Arabidopsis thaliana: one gene and its partners. The protein of the gene in region 1 purifies or fractionates together with the protein of each later gene. This does not show direct contact. Each region holds a gene or a part of one and is shown on either strand. Other genes may lie near its edges.

Region 1 (4,628 bases):
ATTTGTAGCCCTACGAATCACATTGGCAACTACATATACCTATCCAGACGCACGCTCACACCAAAAACACATTAATTGTTATGACGATGAAATTTTAGCTTTCTTATAAGCCGATCATATCAATTGTATTAGTGTATGGTTATAATATCACTCAATTGGTTGGGGATATAATCTTAATTACAATGACCAAAACATTTAGCATAGTAAATTGTGTTAGTGACTATATGTCATTAGTCCATGCTATATATTAAAAGGCCATGCTTCAAGAAAATATAATGATAATATTTTATTATATTAAATAAAACTAAAGAGAATCGATAATATGAAAGAAGACGGCCGGAATTAGTTTAACCAAAAACGTGATTATGATAGGAAAATATCAACCAAATTTATCAAACTGAAATGATAGTATGATTGTCATCTGACATTATTTGTATCAGAAGTAACATTTGTCATCTAATATTTTCATAAAATATATCTAATTATAAATGTCCCAATTATAAATTCAGATCTTGTATTAAAATTTTGTTTCTTTAATATATATATACTGACAAGATTCTGTAGTTACAATTATGTAAAATAAAAAAAAATAAAAAAATTATGTAAAATAAATTCAAAAACTTTTTTTTTGGTAACTGCAGTTGTTTGTTTCTCTTAATAATATATGTTTTTGTTTTCTTACGTTGGGTACGGATAATTTGTATTTTTGTAAAAATGTGGCTTCTGTGATAGATATTTTAGTAGATTTTTGTTTTTTCGACTGAAATTCACGTGTTAAATACAAAGGTAAAAGGTAAGCTTACAGTTCTGCCTAGTTCTGAGTTCTGGCAAGGTGACGTAAAATAGGCGTATATATATATTTCAAGTTTTAAAAAAAGTACTTACATGTGGTGGGTCTACGAGACTCATCTTCCTCGTATGTCGTGCCTTGACGTAGGTAAATCCAACGGCTCTACTTTTATTTACCTGAGATTTGAACTTTTAAAGTTCTACTACCAAGTCTACAACTATTTGATGAGACCACAACCAATATTGTGATGTGAACCTATGAATACGTAAAATTAAGTATAGTGAGTTGTAGACCATGAATTAAGTGGGTTTGAAAATTGAGACCGCATCATTCGATATCCATGAATATAGAACATTTCACAACGTTCTAGAATTTAGAAAAATAAAATATACTTTGAAGATATTAAAGAAAAAAAAAAGACGAATAAAAGATAAAGTGTTATAGAATTTAAAAAGGGAAAGGCAAAGAAACAGAAGAAGAGAGGACCACGCAGATGTAAGGCAATAATTGACATAGGAAAGGGCGTGGTTCGTACGCCTTACCCTAGCTATACTAACCACTGCTCAAAATACTTTGTAAGTTGTAGATCTCTATATACTTACATACTGATACTGTATACATAGTTCCATAGTATTATTGAATATTGATTACTGAAATACGTAAGGATTTGATCCCTACTACAGTAACCAAGTGCTTTATATCTCCATTATGGGTTCCCTCAAAACAATAGATTTTGAATAGCTCTGGGAAGCAGCATTTAAATAATATGGTTTATTACGATATTAGTGTGGTTAGTGTATGTCGGTTTAGATGTCTAGTTGCAGCTAATCGTATACTCGAATGATAAACTAAAATATCTAATGTTTAATTGCAATATATATAGCCAAGACATGTAGCTTAGCTTAGCTATAGCTAGTAGCTTTTTCTTAGTGCATGTCATTTTTATTTTAATAAATCCAAATTCTGATTTCATTCTCTCAATGATATGCAAATAAGGGAAATATTAAAAACTATATATACGTAAATTTTGTTTTAGGAGCCAATTTTTTTTATACACCAATAAAACCATCTGAGCCAATCGTATTATCAATGTATCTTGGTCTTACCTTCAGCAATTTTTGTATGGGCTGAGTCGGTCATCTTAAACGCCCATGTTTTTGTCAATGATGATTACATGTAACCGTAACTTGGTGTTTTAATTAAAAACGTTTAGAATGCGCATAGTCCTTAAACATTTCATAGCCACATTGTTTTTATTCAATTTTTTAAATTAATTTTATTTAGCAGGATAAGATAACCCTTGAATTTATTGAATTGCATCTTTCAATAACTTCAGACGTAAACTGTTCAACGTAAATAGTATAAACTTTTATCCGGACATGCACGGAAGTGTTTATCCCTGTCGCATAATATCTACATTTCGAAAATTTTAAAAACCAAAAAATAGTACTACTTGATAATACACGTTTATGGAAACTACCACGTCACCCTAAGAAGAACCTTACTACAGGCTGTCCAAAAACTTGCCTAACCAATTAAATATATCCACGTGGCATACGTTGACATGTACGCTCTTTGCATTTTACAGCTCTTGCCCGTTCAAAAAACCTCGGTATATAAATAAGCTCTCAATGGTTTCACAAAACTCATATTCAAAAACAGAACACAACCTCTCTTCTCACTCTATATACTCCCAAAATGGCTTATAACTACCGTTTTGCCATTCTTCTCGTTCTCCTCTCCGCCACCGTCGGCTTTACCGCAGCCGCGTTGAAGCCTCCGGTTCGAACCTTGAACGGAAACATTACTCTTAATCTCATTTGGTACGGAAAATTCACCCCAATCCAACGGTCCATAATCGTCGATTTCATCCGCTCTATCAGTTCTGTCACCGCCGCCAAAGGTCCATCCGTCGCGTCGTGGTGGAAGACGACGGAGAAGTACAAAACCGGCGTTTCAACTCTTGTTGTCGGTAAACAGCTCCTCCTTGAGAATTACCCTCTCGGAAAATCCCTAAAGAGCCCTTACCTTCGTGCTCTGTCAAGCAAACTTAACGCTGGTGGTGCTCGGTCAATAACCGTCGTCTTAACGGCGAAAGACGTCACCGTTGAGGGACTCTGTATGAACCGATGCGGGACTCACGGGTCAAAGTCAAGTTCCGTTAACAGTGGAGCTTACGTGTGGGTCGGAAACTCTGAAACGCAGTGTCCTGGTTACTGCGCGTGGCCGTTTCATCAGCCTATCTACGGACCTCAGTCTCCGCCGTTAGTCGCACCTAACGGCGACGTCGGAGTTGACGGAATGATTATAAACATCGCGACTCTTCTTGTTAACACCGTAACGAATCCGTCTCCAGAAGCTGTCTCGGCTTGTACCGGGATATTCGGTTCGGGTGCTTACCCGGGTTACGCGGGTCGGGTTCTCGTAGACAAGACGAGTGGAGCGAGTTACAACGCTTTGGGTCTCGCCGGTAGAAAATATCTATTGCCGGCGTTGTGGGATCCTCAGACTTCGACGTGTAAAACTATGGTTTGAATTTTAGATGGTCTGTGAACGAGACACGTGGCTAGAATTGATGGTGATTAAAAGCTTGTTGTAGTCAAAGAAAGTTTGTAGATATCTATCGCGTCTGGTTCGGAGTTTGGGGAAAGGGATGTGTTTGTTTTGTTATTTTGTTATGCCCTGTGTAAATTCGATCTTTGGAAATATGTGAAAGATAGATTCATATATCTATTTTAATAATAACGATTTGTAGTTTCCACCTATAATCTTATAACGTTAGTATATACTGTATATAGTATGATTAGTATCAAGACCTTGTTTTAACTTTTAACCAGAGGAATCAAACTTTATAGATAAACGAAAAATGGATTAAGATATTAATTATGTTGTGTTGATACCAATGATACGGTAAAAAGAACAAACAAAAAGAGAGAATGAATAATCTAAAGGAAGGTGGAGAATAAAGGCGATGTTGGGACTTGGGGGATAAGAGAAAAGAGAACATATAGAATCACTTTTTCACTTTTAATAAAAGCTATAGCTTATAGGTTTTGGCGTATTGCTTACTAAACAATAGTATAGTATTTATTGTGGGACTGGAAAAAATGATTTTATTTTTATCATCCAGTTTTTCCTACCAATCTCACCTTTTTAGTAACTTGAATTGAATTGTCCCATAAATTCTTAAATATGAGCAGTGGGTTGGTTGGTGTTGAGTGCTTCGAGCAGGCCTGTCGAATCAATGGACTCTACTGACGATAGTGAAAGCAGTAAGCTTTCAATGAAGTCGCTCCAATAACAACTTGTTAAAGGTTTTATTGGAGGTTACACAATTTACACCTACAATTATTTTTATTCGTTCAATAAGAGCCACATTCTTTAAGAGTTGGTAACACTGAACCCCATAAAAATCATCTTGGACTCCAATTTTCACATCCAAACATTTCCTAATCAAGTCATATATCCAATGTTTTATGTCAAATCTATTTCACTCCCCCTTCACTTCAAAACATCTTCCAATTCTTGTCCTCACATCAGATCCCTGAACTCAAATGATAAAGAGTGTTTTTTTTTTTCCTTTTTCCCCTAATATCTTTTACTTTTCAATGCTAGACACTAGCCCTGGGACTAAAATCCGCTAACCGCGAATATCCGGATCCGGATCCGTGATCCGCTCCGAAAAATCGGATATCCGGACTAAACGGATCTGAATACGGATAACAAATTTATGGATCAGACGGACCCGGATCCGGAGCCGGATAACAAAAAAAATTACATCCGGATATCCGGATCCGTCAAAATATCTACATATTACTAGTCCTGAGACTAAAATCCG
Region 2 (5,294 bases), 3.5 Mb from region 1:
GGATATCTACCAGATAATTAGAAGGTTACAATTACAAAGGTTTCTGTATTACAACGAAGTTGAATCAGAGCGTGTTCTTTGTCCAAAGCCCATCATTGAGTTACCCAAATCAAAGTCCAATATAAAGCCTTCTAATTGTAGCCCACCCATTACAATCGGGTTGACTCGACTTGACCCGCCGTCAACAATCCCCGAGCATCGGACTCCACCACCAACATCCACCATCAGATTCTTCCCATGAATCCTCCACCGCACCATCTCACTCTGCAACGCTAGATCTACCGCCGGAAAATCTACGTCACTAGTGAAGCAGAGCCCAAACGGTGCGACAGGAGGCACCGATGTAGCTTCACCCGCAGCTTTGGCGTAAGCTTCCGCGAACACCTTGTAGATCGAGCTCTCTAAAATCGTGTAAGGAACCACCGTGCTCAGCTCCACCGCCAACGGACCTTCCACGGAGAGCTTTTCCCCGTTGACTCTAATCGATTTCACGTTAATTACGTAGTTGCCACTCGAACCGGTTAACAAAGGCGTGTAAACCAGCGATCTAGACGCAGCCACTCCAAAAACCTCCTCCACCGAACTCGTTGATACGACACCGTTCAACGGCGACAGGTAAACAGTTAACCGACGACGTTCGTTAGTTTCCGCGGCGAGTTGTGAAGGGAGTGAGATTTGGGCCCTTCCTAAGCCCATTACTCCTTGGGCTCCACTAGCGAGCCCACGTAACAGCCACGGTGGAGTACAAGCGAAAAGTAGATCAACGGTTCCCGGAGAAGTAACAGAGCCAACCGACATGACGTCACTGAAAAGCTCTCCTCTCGCCGTAATCCCAAAGGCGTCGTTTTTAACAAGTAATTCGCAATCGGCGTTTTGGTCTTTACGCGATGATGATGATGATGATACTCGTTCATTTCCAACTTTTGCCTTTAAGCAGCCGCTAGAGCTACCGGATATTAGGTTCCTTGACGAGGAAACATGTCTTGAGGAACAATCAAACCAGAGAATTGAGCCGGCCAGATCGACTACGAGCTTGACTGGATCCGGTGAGTCACCGAGTCGAATCTGTGCGAGGTATTGACCGGTTGGAAGGTCTTTAACAACAGGGAAAACGACCCCGTTAACGGAATCAGAGATCTGAGATTTAGAAATGATTAGAGCGGAGAGAAAAGAGAAGAAGAAGAGATTCAAACAAGAAGAAGAAGCCATTAGAAGTGTGTGTGATGAGTTTTAGAGGAAGGAAATGGATCTGGACGGTTTTTAAGGATTAAGCGTTATGGTTTGGGATGCGGTGGGCCGACGCTGGTTTATTGTGAATGTGAAAAAACTGAAACGATAAGGATTGGTTCATTTTAAGGTAAGTGCTGAGTAGACTTGTTGTGTCGTTTCGCTCTTTGGTGGGGACTTTTTCTTTTCTTTTTATTTTGTTTTGGTCAATGTTTATCCATTTTATTAAAAGCTCAAAAGAAAAAGGAGACGATTTGATGATTTTTGGCACGTGTGAAAGGATGTTTTATAGGAATATCCATAAAGTTTATACCCTATGCCAGTTGGAGTAGTTGGCTTGGTACTTGTAAATTTTGTGATGTTAACATGTATTATGAAATTAAGATTGGGCTCGTTTATATATGGGCGTCTTCAGAAACTTATATGGCCCAATGGTTTGCATGGCGTTATATATAAAACAAATCAACGGTCTTTAATAACGAAATAACGAGAGCCGTTAATGGTTTATTTGAATGAAAAATCATTTTTCTTCATACAGCATATGAACTTTACGATCCTGCAAGACTTTTTATGATCAGGTATAAAAGAATTCAACACTCATTTTGCATACATTACGTACCAATTAATGTTAAATGATACTTAAACTAGCATACTAAGATACACCGACCCATCTTTCTCCATTGTTTTCAAATAAAAATTAATTGTTGCAATATAAGCAATGTGGTGTTATGAAGATTAATATTGAGCTCATTTATACGTGGGCCTGGCAATATGGCCCAATATGTTTGGATTCGTTATGTAAAATTGTAAATTAAGTCCTTGTCGATGAAAAAATAGAGTCGTTAATGGATTATTTTAGCGAAAATCGTTTCTATTCCTATAAAATTGAAAATACAAATGATTTGATTTAAATTATAAGATCTTTCAAGACTTTCTAGTATGTATTGCTGCTATATTAAGGATTAAGATCATGCATAAAGAAGAACTCGAAAACTATTTGAAAAGAAAAGAATATGAATTGTGACATATACCCACCACGCGAGTATACTTGATCAGACCTCATTTTGCATAACATTATACGACTTCAGATGCACCGACTAATCTTCATTTTTTCATATAATTAATTGTTGTCATGTGTAACACATGCAAAAATACTCTCATTTTTTAAGATTCCGCGTAATTCAACTTTTAGGAAAACAAATCTCAACGCGAATCTCAAACATTCAAGAATACCATCACTTTTGTGTTAAAAAATGTACTAATCACCATTTTAATTCTTAGATCCAAAATGTATTTTACATCTATAAATAACATACATCGTAGTCCATCTCCATCACAAACAATCACATTCATCATTTCATTTACCAAAAAAAATTATAACCTGAATATAATAGAGATGGGTAGTAGCCTCACGCGCCTACTAGTCTTCCTTTCCATTTTCGCAGCCATAGCTCTGAAATCAAACTCTCAATACCTTCTTCCGATCACCAAGCACGAACCCACCAATCTATTCTACACCACTTTCAACGTCGGATCCGCCGCAAAATCTCCTGTAAACCTCCTCCTCGACCTCGGAACAAACCTCACGTGGCTCGACTGCCGCAAACTTAAATCTTTATCATCTCTCCGCCTAGTCACTTGCCAGAGCTCCACATGCAAGTCTATCCCCGGTAATGGATGCGCTGGCAAATCTTGTCTTTACAAGCAACCAAACCCACTCGGACAAAACCCCGTTGTAACCGGCCGTGTCGTCCAAGACAGAGCTTCCCTCTACACCACAGACGGCGGCAAGTTCCTCTCTCAAGTCTCCGTCCGCCACTTCACATTCTCATGCGCCGGTGAGAAAGCCCTCCAAGGCCTTCCTCCTCCAGTCGACGGAGTTCTGGCTCTTTCTCCCGGATCTTCGTCGTTCACGAAACAAGTGACGTCAGCGTTTAACGTCATCCCTAAATTCTCTCTCTGCTTGCCTTCTTCCGGTACCGGTCATTTCTATATCGCCGGCATTCACTACTTTATCCCACCATTCAATAGTAGCGATAATCCGATTCCAAGGACTTTAACTCCCATTAAAGGCACTGACTCAGGAGATTATCTAATCACTGTAAAATCTATCTACGTTGGTGGAACTGCTTTGAAGTTGAACCCTGATTTGCTAACCGGCGGAGCCAAACTCAGTACGGTGGTTCACTACACCGTACTTCAAACCGATATCTACAATGCTCTTGCTCAGTCTTTTACACTCAAGGCTAAGGTATTCAAAACAAAATATATTATTCATGTATAAAATTTCTTATCTCTTTATTGGAGTTCCTGTGGAGTGAACCATGATTTGAGATTTTTAAAATAAAATATCTTATTAAACGATTATTAGAAATGTGTTCCTTTAAATTATAACGTTGCTAATGTTATTTTTTTGTTGTATATAGATAAGCTGATATAACCTCTTTTCTGTCTTGTTTGTTTTGGTGTGAACTATATATACAGGCTATGGGAATAGCTAAGGTTCCATCGGTGGCGCCGTTTAAACATTGTTTTGATTCACGCACCGCTGGAAAGAATTTGACGGCGGGGCCTAACGTGCCCGTGATAGAGATTGGTCTGCCGGGGAGGATAGGGGAGGTAAAGTGGGGGTTCTACGGTGCGAATACGGTGGTGAAAGTGAAGGAAACGGTGATGTGTTTGGCGTTTATCGACGGTGGAAAGACACCGAAGGATTTGATGGTGATTGGGACACATCAGCTTCAAGATCATATGCTCGAGTTCGATTTCAGCGGGACGGTTCTCGCTTTTAGTGAGTCACTCTTGCTCCATAACACAAGCTGCTCCACTTGGCCTTCCCAAAAATAGAATCATCAGTCACTCATGATAGTATCACAGTTTTTGGTCTTGTATGACACGTTTTCAGCGACACATGTGTTCTAATCGAAATTTTAAGAAATTATCACCCGTTTCTCATAAATATCGTCTATGTTATTTTATTCAAATTTGATATTCGCTTGTTTTGATAAAAAATATTGTCTGAGGATTTTGCACATTAATAATTATCTAAAGTATTCTGTATTTCTTATTAGAAATTGCAATTTAGATTTGAAATTCAAAAGTTACTACAAAAAATGTATTGCATAAAATAAATTATATCAAAAATAAATGATGTTAATTTGAGTTACTTATTTATAACAGATACAAAATTTGATTTAACGTCAATTACAATAAGTAATGCCATAACTAATTATTTGACATCAACTAAATTAAATTGATACTAATCTATCTTAATTTGCATCATTGAAAAAAGATACAAAATAAAAACTAGCATCAATTGTTCAAATGATAGAAAGGTTAAATTATTTCAGAAAATAATGGTAATAAAATTACGAATTTAAGTGATTGATGCAAATTCACCTTTTTAGGAATTTTTAAAGTAAATAAAGAAGAAGACATATACTTGTCACAACAACACGTTCATGATAGTCTCAAAGAAGGAAAAATATGGACTTGTATGCCCTTAATTTCTCCGATGATTTCCGACAGAAATTAATGGAGATAGTAGTTTTGATACTAATTAGTTGAAATTATTTAAGATCCAATATGCTATCTGGTGAAAGAGCTACAAGGGTGTCTCATGGAATGTGGTAAGAACTCTTTGAGAACCAATTTGGATCATGAGGGATCTAGATGCGAGAAAAAGAAAGACTCAAAGAAACGGTTTAGAAGTCGTCTCCATTCCCTTGAACCATGCGGAGGAAATGTCAGAATGATATGTTACGATTCTTGAATGGATTCTACTTTTTGAGATCGACTTCACTCTTTGGTCCCCAATCTCCTCCTCTTTTCATTGTAAGGCGACAAACACTTGCAATATTTTTACATAGTAGATTAATTGTAGAATTGAACTATTTCAAATGAAACTAAATTCATAGAAGCAATAACCCCCTTACATTAAAAATGAAACCATCTCAACCTATAAAACATAAAATTTTGCTTAGTTTTTTTTTTTAATAACTACGATTAATTTTAGTAATTCAGATCCACAGTCTGTCCTACGTAGAACTCGCGCAACCATGAGATTC
Region 3 (5,366 bases), on another chromosome or scaffold:
TGAAATATTAATATTTTTTCACCTAAAATATTCTAAAATAAAATTTTCGCCAAAAATTTTCCCGCCAAAAAAATTTCGAAAAACAAATTCCCGCCAAAAAATTTCCCGCCAAATTTTGTTTTCAAAAATATTTTTCCCGCCAATTTTTTATTTTTTGGCGGTAAATAGATTTACAAGAGATTTTATAAGATTTACAAGGGATTTTAAAAGGTTTTTAAAAGATTTATAAGGGATTTTAAAAGGGTTTTAAAAGATTTACAAGAGATTTTAAAAGGATTTAAAAGATTTGCAAAGGTCTTTTAAAGATTTTTAAAGGGTTTAAAATTGTTTTAAAAGAATTTTAAAATATTTACAAGAGATTTTAAAAGGGTTTTACAATATTTATAAGGAATTTTAAAGGATTTTAAAAGATTTACAAAGAATTTGTAAAGATTTTTAAAGGGTTTAAAAGTGTTTTGAAAGATTTACAAGGGATTTTAAAACCCTTTTAAAATCTCTTGTAAATTTTTTAAAATCCTTTTAAAATCTCTTGTAAATCTTTTAAAACTCTTTTAAAATCTCTTATAAATCTTTTAAAACCCTTGTAAATCTATTTGCCGCCAAAAAATATTTACAAAGATTTTTAAAATCATTTTTTTAGCTGAGGAAAATTGTTACGAAAAAGTTTTTGGCAGGAATTGTTTTTTTTGGCGGGAAAAAAGTTTGGCGGAAATTTTTTTTTTGGCGGAAAATAAAAATTTTGGCGCCAAAAAATTGGCGGGAAAAGTTCAGTTTCCAATTACATGTTTCTATTAGATGAGGGTAATTTGGTCATTTTGTTCAAGGGAAAGGGTACTTTTAAAAATGGAAAACATAAAAGGGTATTGTTGCAAAAAAATAGTAAAAAATGGGTAGTTTTGCAAATCTCCAATCATATATATACTAAGCTTCAAACTAGTTTAGTTTTGATTTGTTTTCCGATCCTAAACTTGAATTAAGCTCATGATGTTGGGAGCCTATATAAATTATTAGAACGTGATATTCATGCATGGTGTATTCAAAGAATTACACATATATAAGAGAGACTAGGATAAAACTAATTACGTTTAGATAATACTAAATACTGAGGTATGTCAAGGATGCTCTAACATATTTGTTAGGTGGATCCAAATCCACTATGGTCGAAGCGGTGGGTAACCGACGCCAAATATTATATACTGTGCAGTTGTACAAAATGGATGAACGCTATATTCAGACAAATAAGTACTATAACAAAACAAGAAAGAACTCTTTAAGTACTTCAATTTTGAGCAAAGGAAAATTTCGAGAATAATGGTTTGTAGTAGCCCGGAGGGGAAACATTACCATTTTGGTCTAAACACTTCACAATAAACTTGAAAACAAAATAGCTAGACTAGCTAGAGATATATATGTTTAGTTTCATAATATGCATGTGACCTCATAATTAAACCTTATTTTGAAACTATAACTTATAAACAGATGAACTGGTCTTTCGATCTTTAACAAAAATAAAAATGAACTGGTCTTTCTTTTAACAAATTTCTGAATCTTGTGGGAACTCTATTGGATAATTGGATTCGTAAGCACAAATTGATCCACGACCACTACATTATACATATGCAGATATGTTAATGCTATAAGACCATCTCTTTTATTGTATGACTTTTGGAGATAACAGAAAAGGGAATCTTTTACAGATAAGAGTTTAGAGTAAAGAGAAAAGAAGCCTATTTGGTTGATTTTGATTCACTGATTAAAACAACACTTGTCTTTTTTATCTTTGCCTTCACGAGAATCATAACTACACTCACCGTCCTCGCCGATCAAAAGTCCTCGTGTGATAAGAAATTCATGTGGACAATTTTATTGCAGGTACGTATTTTTCATCAACTTATCCATAACGACACGTGTTGACCTTCTTACGTAGCTCTTCTGTATTTGATCGCCTTGGATTTGCTCTAAGACCTAATTTAATCACGCCACATGCAACAATTAACTACCAAGGGTCCCAAAAAAAGAAAGAAACACATACTACTCTATTTAATTTGATAATAAACAAATAAAGTCCGTTTAGTAGATTATGTTTTACATATAAAAACAATTAAAGTCCGTTTTGTTAATTATGTTTTACCTATAAAAAAAAAATTCACCAAAAAACATTAATCAAATCATATCCTAGTTGATCATTGGTGAGGTGACTGACAGGTCGTGGAATTCTGGCATCCTATCGTCGACAAATCTTAAACTAAAGTAACTCTTACTGTTACTTTTTAAATATGTCAAAGTAACCAATATCTTCTACGGAACTTATATCCAATTTGCATACTTTTACTCATACTATACAAAATACAAGCGGATATAAACAACAAAATAAGAAAACTACACTAATATCTATAGAAACTTCAAATTGAATTGAATATTATCGTGATATATATATATATATATATATCGCCGAATATTCCCTGGAAAATTAAATACAAAGACTATACTACTCTATTGGCTATAAATACACACACAAACCCAACAAAGCTATTTCATTATTCAAAAACCAATCACAAATAACAAAACGAAAATGAAGTTTTGGTCACGACCATTAACGTTTCTTATAATTATTATCTATCTCATAATTCAACAAGTCAACTCATCACCACCGTCATTATCTATACCGGAGCATTTTCTCCGATGCCTCGACACTCAACCATCCGACCACGGCAGTCCCAACTCAAGAACCGCCGTGATCCCAACAAACTCATCTTTCTCAACAAACCTAATGAACGGCGTCAGAAACCTCCGGTTCGCTTCTGTCTCCACAAGAAAACCAGAAGTTATCGTCGCCGCCGTCACCGAAACTCACATAAGAGCAACAATCTCTTGCTGCAAACTCCTAAACCTCGAGCTAAGAATCCGAAGCGGAGGCCACGACTACGAAGGCTTCTCCTACACTTCTCCGGTACCTTTCGTAATCTTAGACATGTACAACTTCAACAAAATCGATATCAACATGAAAGACGAAACCGTTTGGATCCAATCCGGAGCTTCACTAGGTCAGCTTTACTATAACATTGCAAGTAAAAGCAAAGTCCACGCTTTTCCCGCCGGAGTTTGTCCTAAAGTCGGCGCCGGAGGACATTTCAGCGGCGGAGGATTCGGTAACCTCATGAGAAAATACGGTTTATCCATTGATCATATAATCGACGCTCAAATCATGGACGCCAACGGTAAAGTGTACCGTAACCGTCAAGCTATGGGAGAAGACGTGTTTTGGGCTATTCGCGGCGGAGGCGGCGGAAGCTACGGAGTCATTCTTGCCTGGAAGATAAAACTCGTTAGGGTTCCGGAGAAAGTCACAGTTTTTAAACTAGAAAGAACGGTGAGAGAAGGAGCCGTTGATTTAGTTCATAAATGGCAACAAGTAGCTCCGGTTATCGACAGAGATTTGTTTATCCGGTTAGAGATTAAACCAATAAACCGGAAAATCTCAAAAGGTAAGACGATTAAAGTCTCCTTCATCGGAATGTTTCTTGGTTTACCTGAGAGACTTTTAAACATAACGAAACAGAGTTTCCCTGAGCTACATTTAACGAAAGAAGATTGTATGGTCAAGAAATGGATCGAATCTAGTGTTTTCTGGGCGAATTATCCAGAAAAAGCACCGATAGAGTTACTTCTCAAAAGAGTATCAACCAACGAATACTACTGGAAACGTACTTCAGATTTTGTTCAAGCACCAATCTCAAAACAGGGTCTTGCAAAGATTTTTCAAACAATGATTGATCATTCGCCACTTCCACGACGAGTTTGGATGCAATGGAATCCATGGGGAGGGAAAATGGCTGAGATAGCGTCTGATGCGACGGCGTTTGTGCATAGAGGTGGTAATGTTTTCATGATTGAGCATTTCATGAATTGGTATAGACCTGGAGATGAGCTTGAAGAGAAGTTCTTGGCGATTGCAAGAAGTTTTAAAGAAGCTATGGCTCCGTTTGTTTCCAAGAATCCGAGAGAAGCTTTCTTTAATTATAGAGATGTCGATATCGGAATTACTACGCCGGGGTATAATGCGACGTATGAAGGAGCTAAGGTTTATGGGGATAGTTATTTCAAAGGGAATTATTTGAGATTGGTTAAGATTAAAGCCCGGTTCGACCGGACTAATTTTTTCCGGTCTCAGCAAGGGATTCCGGTTCTTGCTTAGTTTGGTGATTGGTGAGTGTTTGAATTGATTGTATTGTTGTGTGGGAAGGAGTATACTATTAAGTTATTAAAAGTTGAAATTTGGGATCATATCCAATGAATCTATTGGGTATATATGTTCCTTAGTTGTTCTGGCATGGGCAGTTGATAATTTTGTGTTAAATAATGGTTTACTTCAATCTCCAAGAGAAGTTATGTGCTAAAATTTTTAATAATAAATGGATCGGAGTTGTATATCTCTAAGAGAATTCATTGATTATAATCAACAATATATGATTAGTTTTAGTTATAGCATAAATGAACAATATATGGTCTTTAATTTGCAAAGAATACTGATTGCAAAATCTTAAATAAATTTCATAATAAAAAATCAACCAGATTTTACGCGTCTTTTTAAACAAATATCATGTACTAATTTATCCGATGACAAACTATATTATATGATATCACTATATGTTTCTAAATCATAACCTAATATTATTTTATTTACAATTGGGGTCAAGTTTACCGCTAATTTAGTTATCTAGCAAAGAAGCCTAATAATTTTTGCATGAATCTATGCAACTTTTGTTTTTTTTTGTCAAAAACATAGTATGTCAGTATGACCGATGAGCGATGAACAAAATCATTGGGTCCATTGCAAAAAGTGTGTTTTTCAGAAATCTTGGCGCAGAGTCACAGATGAACACGTGATAGGATTTATATATTAAATGCTTGAACAGGACATGGTCGAGTTGCTTCCAATAATTGTAATGAGGTCACAGTTTTAACTATATGATATAGACTTTTCGACTGGTCGATCGGTCCAAACTGGTCCGACATTTTGGGATAGGGTTAGTTATAATTGTTAGTTCAATATTTTACACGTGGGCAAAATTCCGAGACTTTCTCACCACAATTTGAAAAAATCTCGATTCCAATCAATCAAATGACCAATATCACCAGTCAAATGTTTAAAAGAGAAAACACTAGCTTGAAGCCAAAATGTATATATATCATCTAAGTTACAAGTGGGTACGTACTTGTATTTGTTCTTGTCCACCCTAGAACAAATATGTTGTATACTACTATACTAGCTGATGGTGTTGTAGGGGAGACAATTGACTGTTAAGTAAACTTTTAAATAGTGTTACAAATTATTTCAGATCATGATGGAAAAAATAGATTTAATA

Evidence for each region.
Region 2: the proteins of EXL4 (region 1) and AT5G19110 fractionate together in Arabidopsis thaliana (co-fractionation; one large-scale study listed by BioGRID). This does not show direct contact.
Region 3: the proteins of EXL4 (region 1) and AT2G34810 fractionate together in Arabidopsis thaliana (co-fractionation; one large-scale study listed by BioGRID). This does not show direct contact.

The regions. Positions count from the first base shown.
Region 1 is NC_003076.8:2,935,909-2,940,536, forward strand, and holds EXL4 (EXORDIUM like 4), read left to right. Parts: upstream 1-2,284; 5' UTR 2,285-2,488; coding exon 2,489-3,325; 3' UTR 3,326-3,807; downstream 3,808-4,628. UniProt on the Arabidopsis thaliana protein: May play a role in a brassinosteroid-dependent regulation of growth and development.
Region 2 is NC_003076.8:6,410,500-6,415,793, reverse strand, and holds AT5G19110 (Eukaryotic aspartyl protease family protein), read left to right. Parts: upstream 1-2,482; 5' UTR 2,483-2,515; coding exon 2,516-3,478; intron 3,479-3,711; coding exon 3,712-4,074; 3' UTR 4,075-4,351; downstream 4,352-5,294. Other genes in the region: AT5G19120 (Eukaryotic aspartyl protease family protein), read right to left, coding at 49-1,209.
Region 3 is NC_003071.7:14,682,720-14,688,085, forward strand, and holds AT2G34810 (FAD-binding Berberine family protein), read left to right. Parts: upstream 1-2,450; 5' UTR 2,451-2,572; coding exon 2,573-4,195; 3' UTR 4,196-4,497; downstream 4,498-5,366.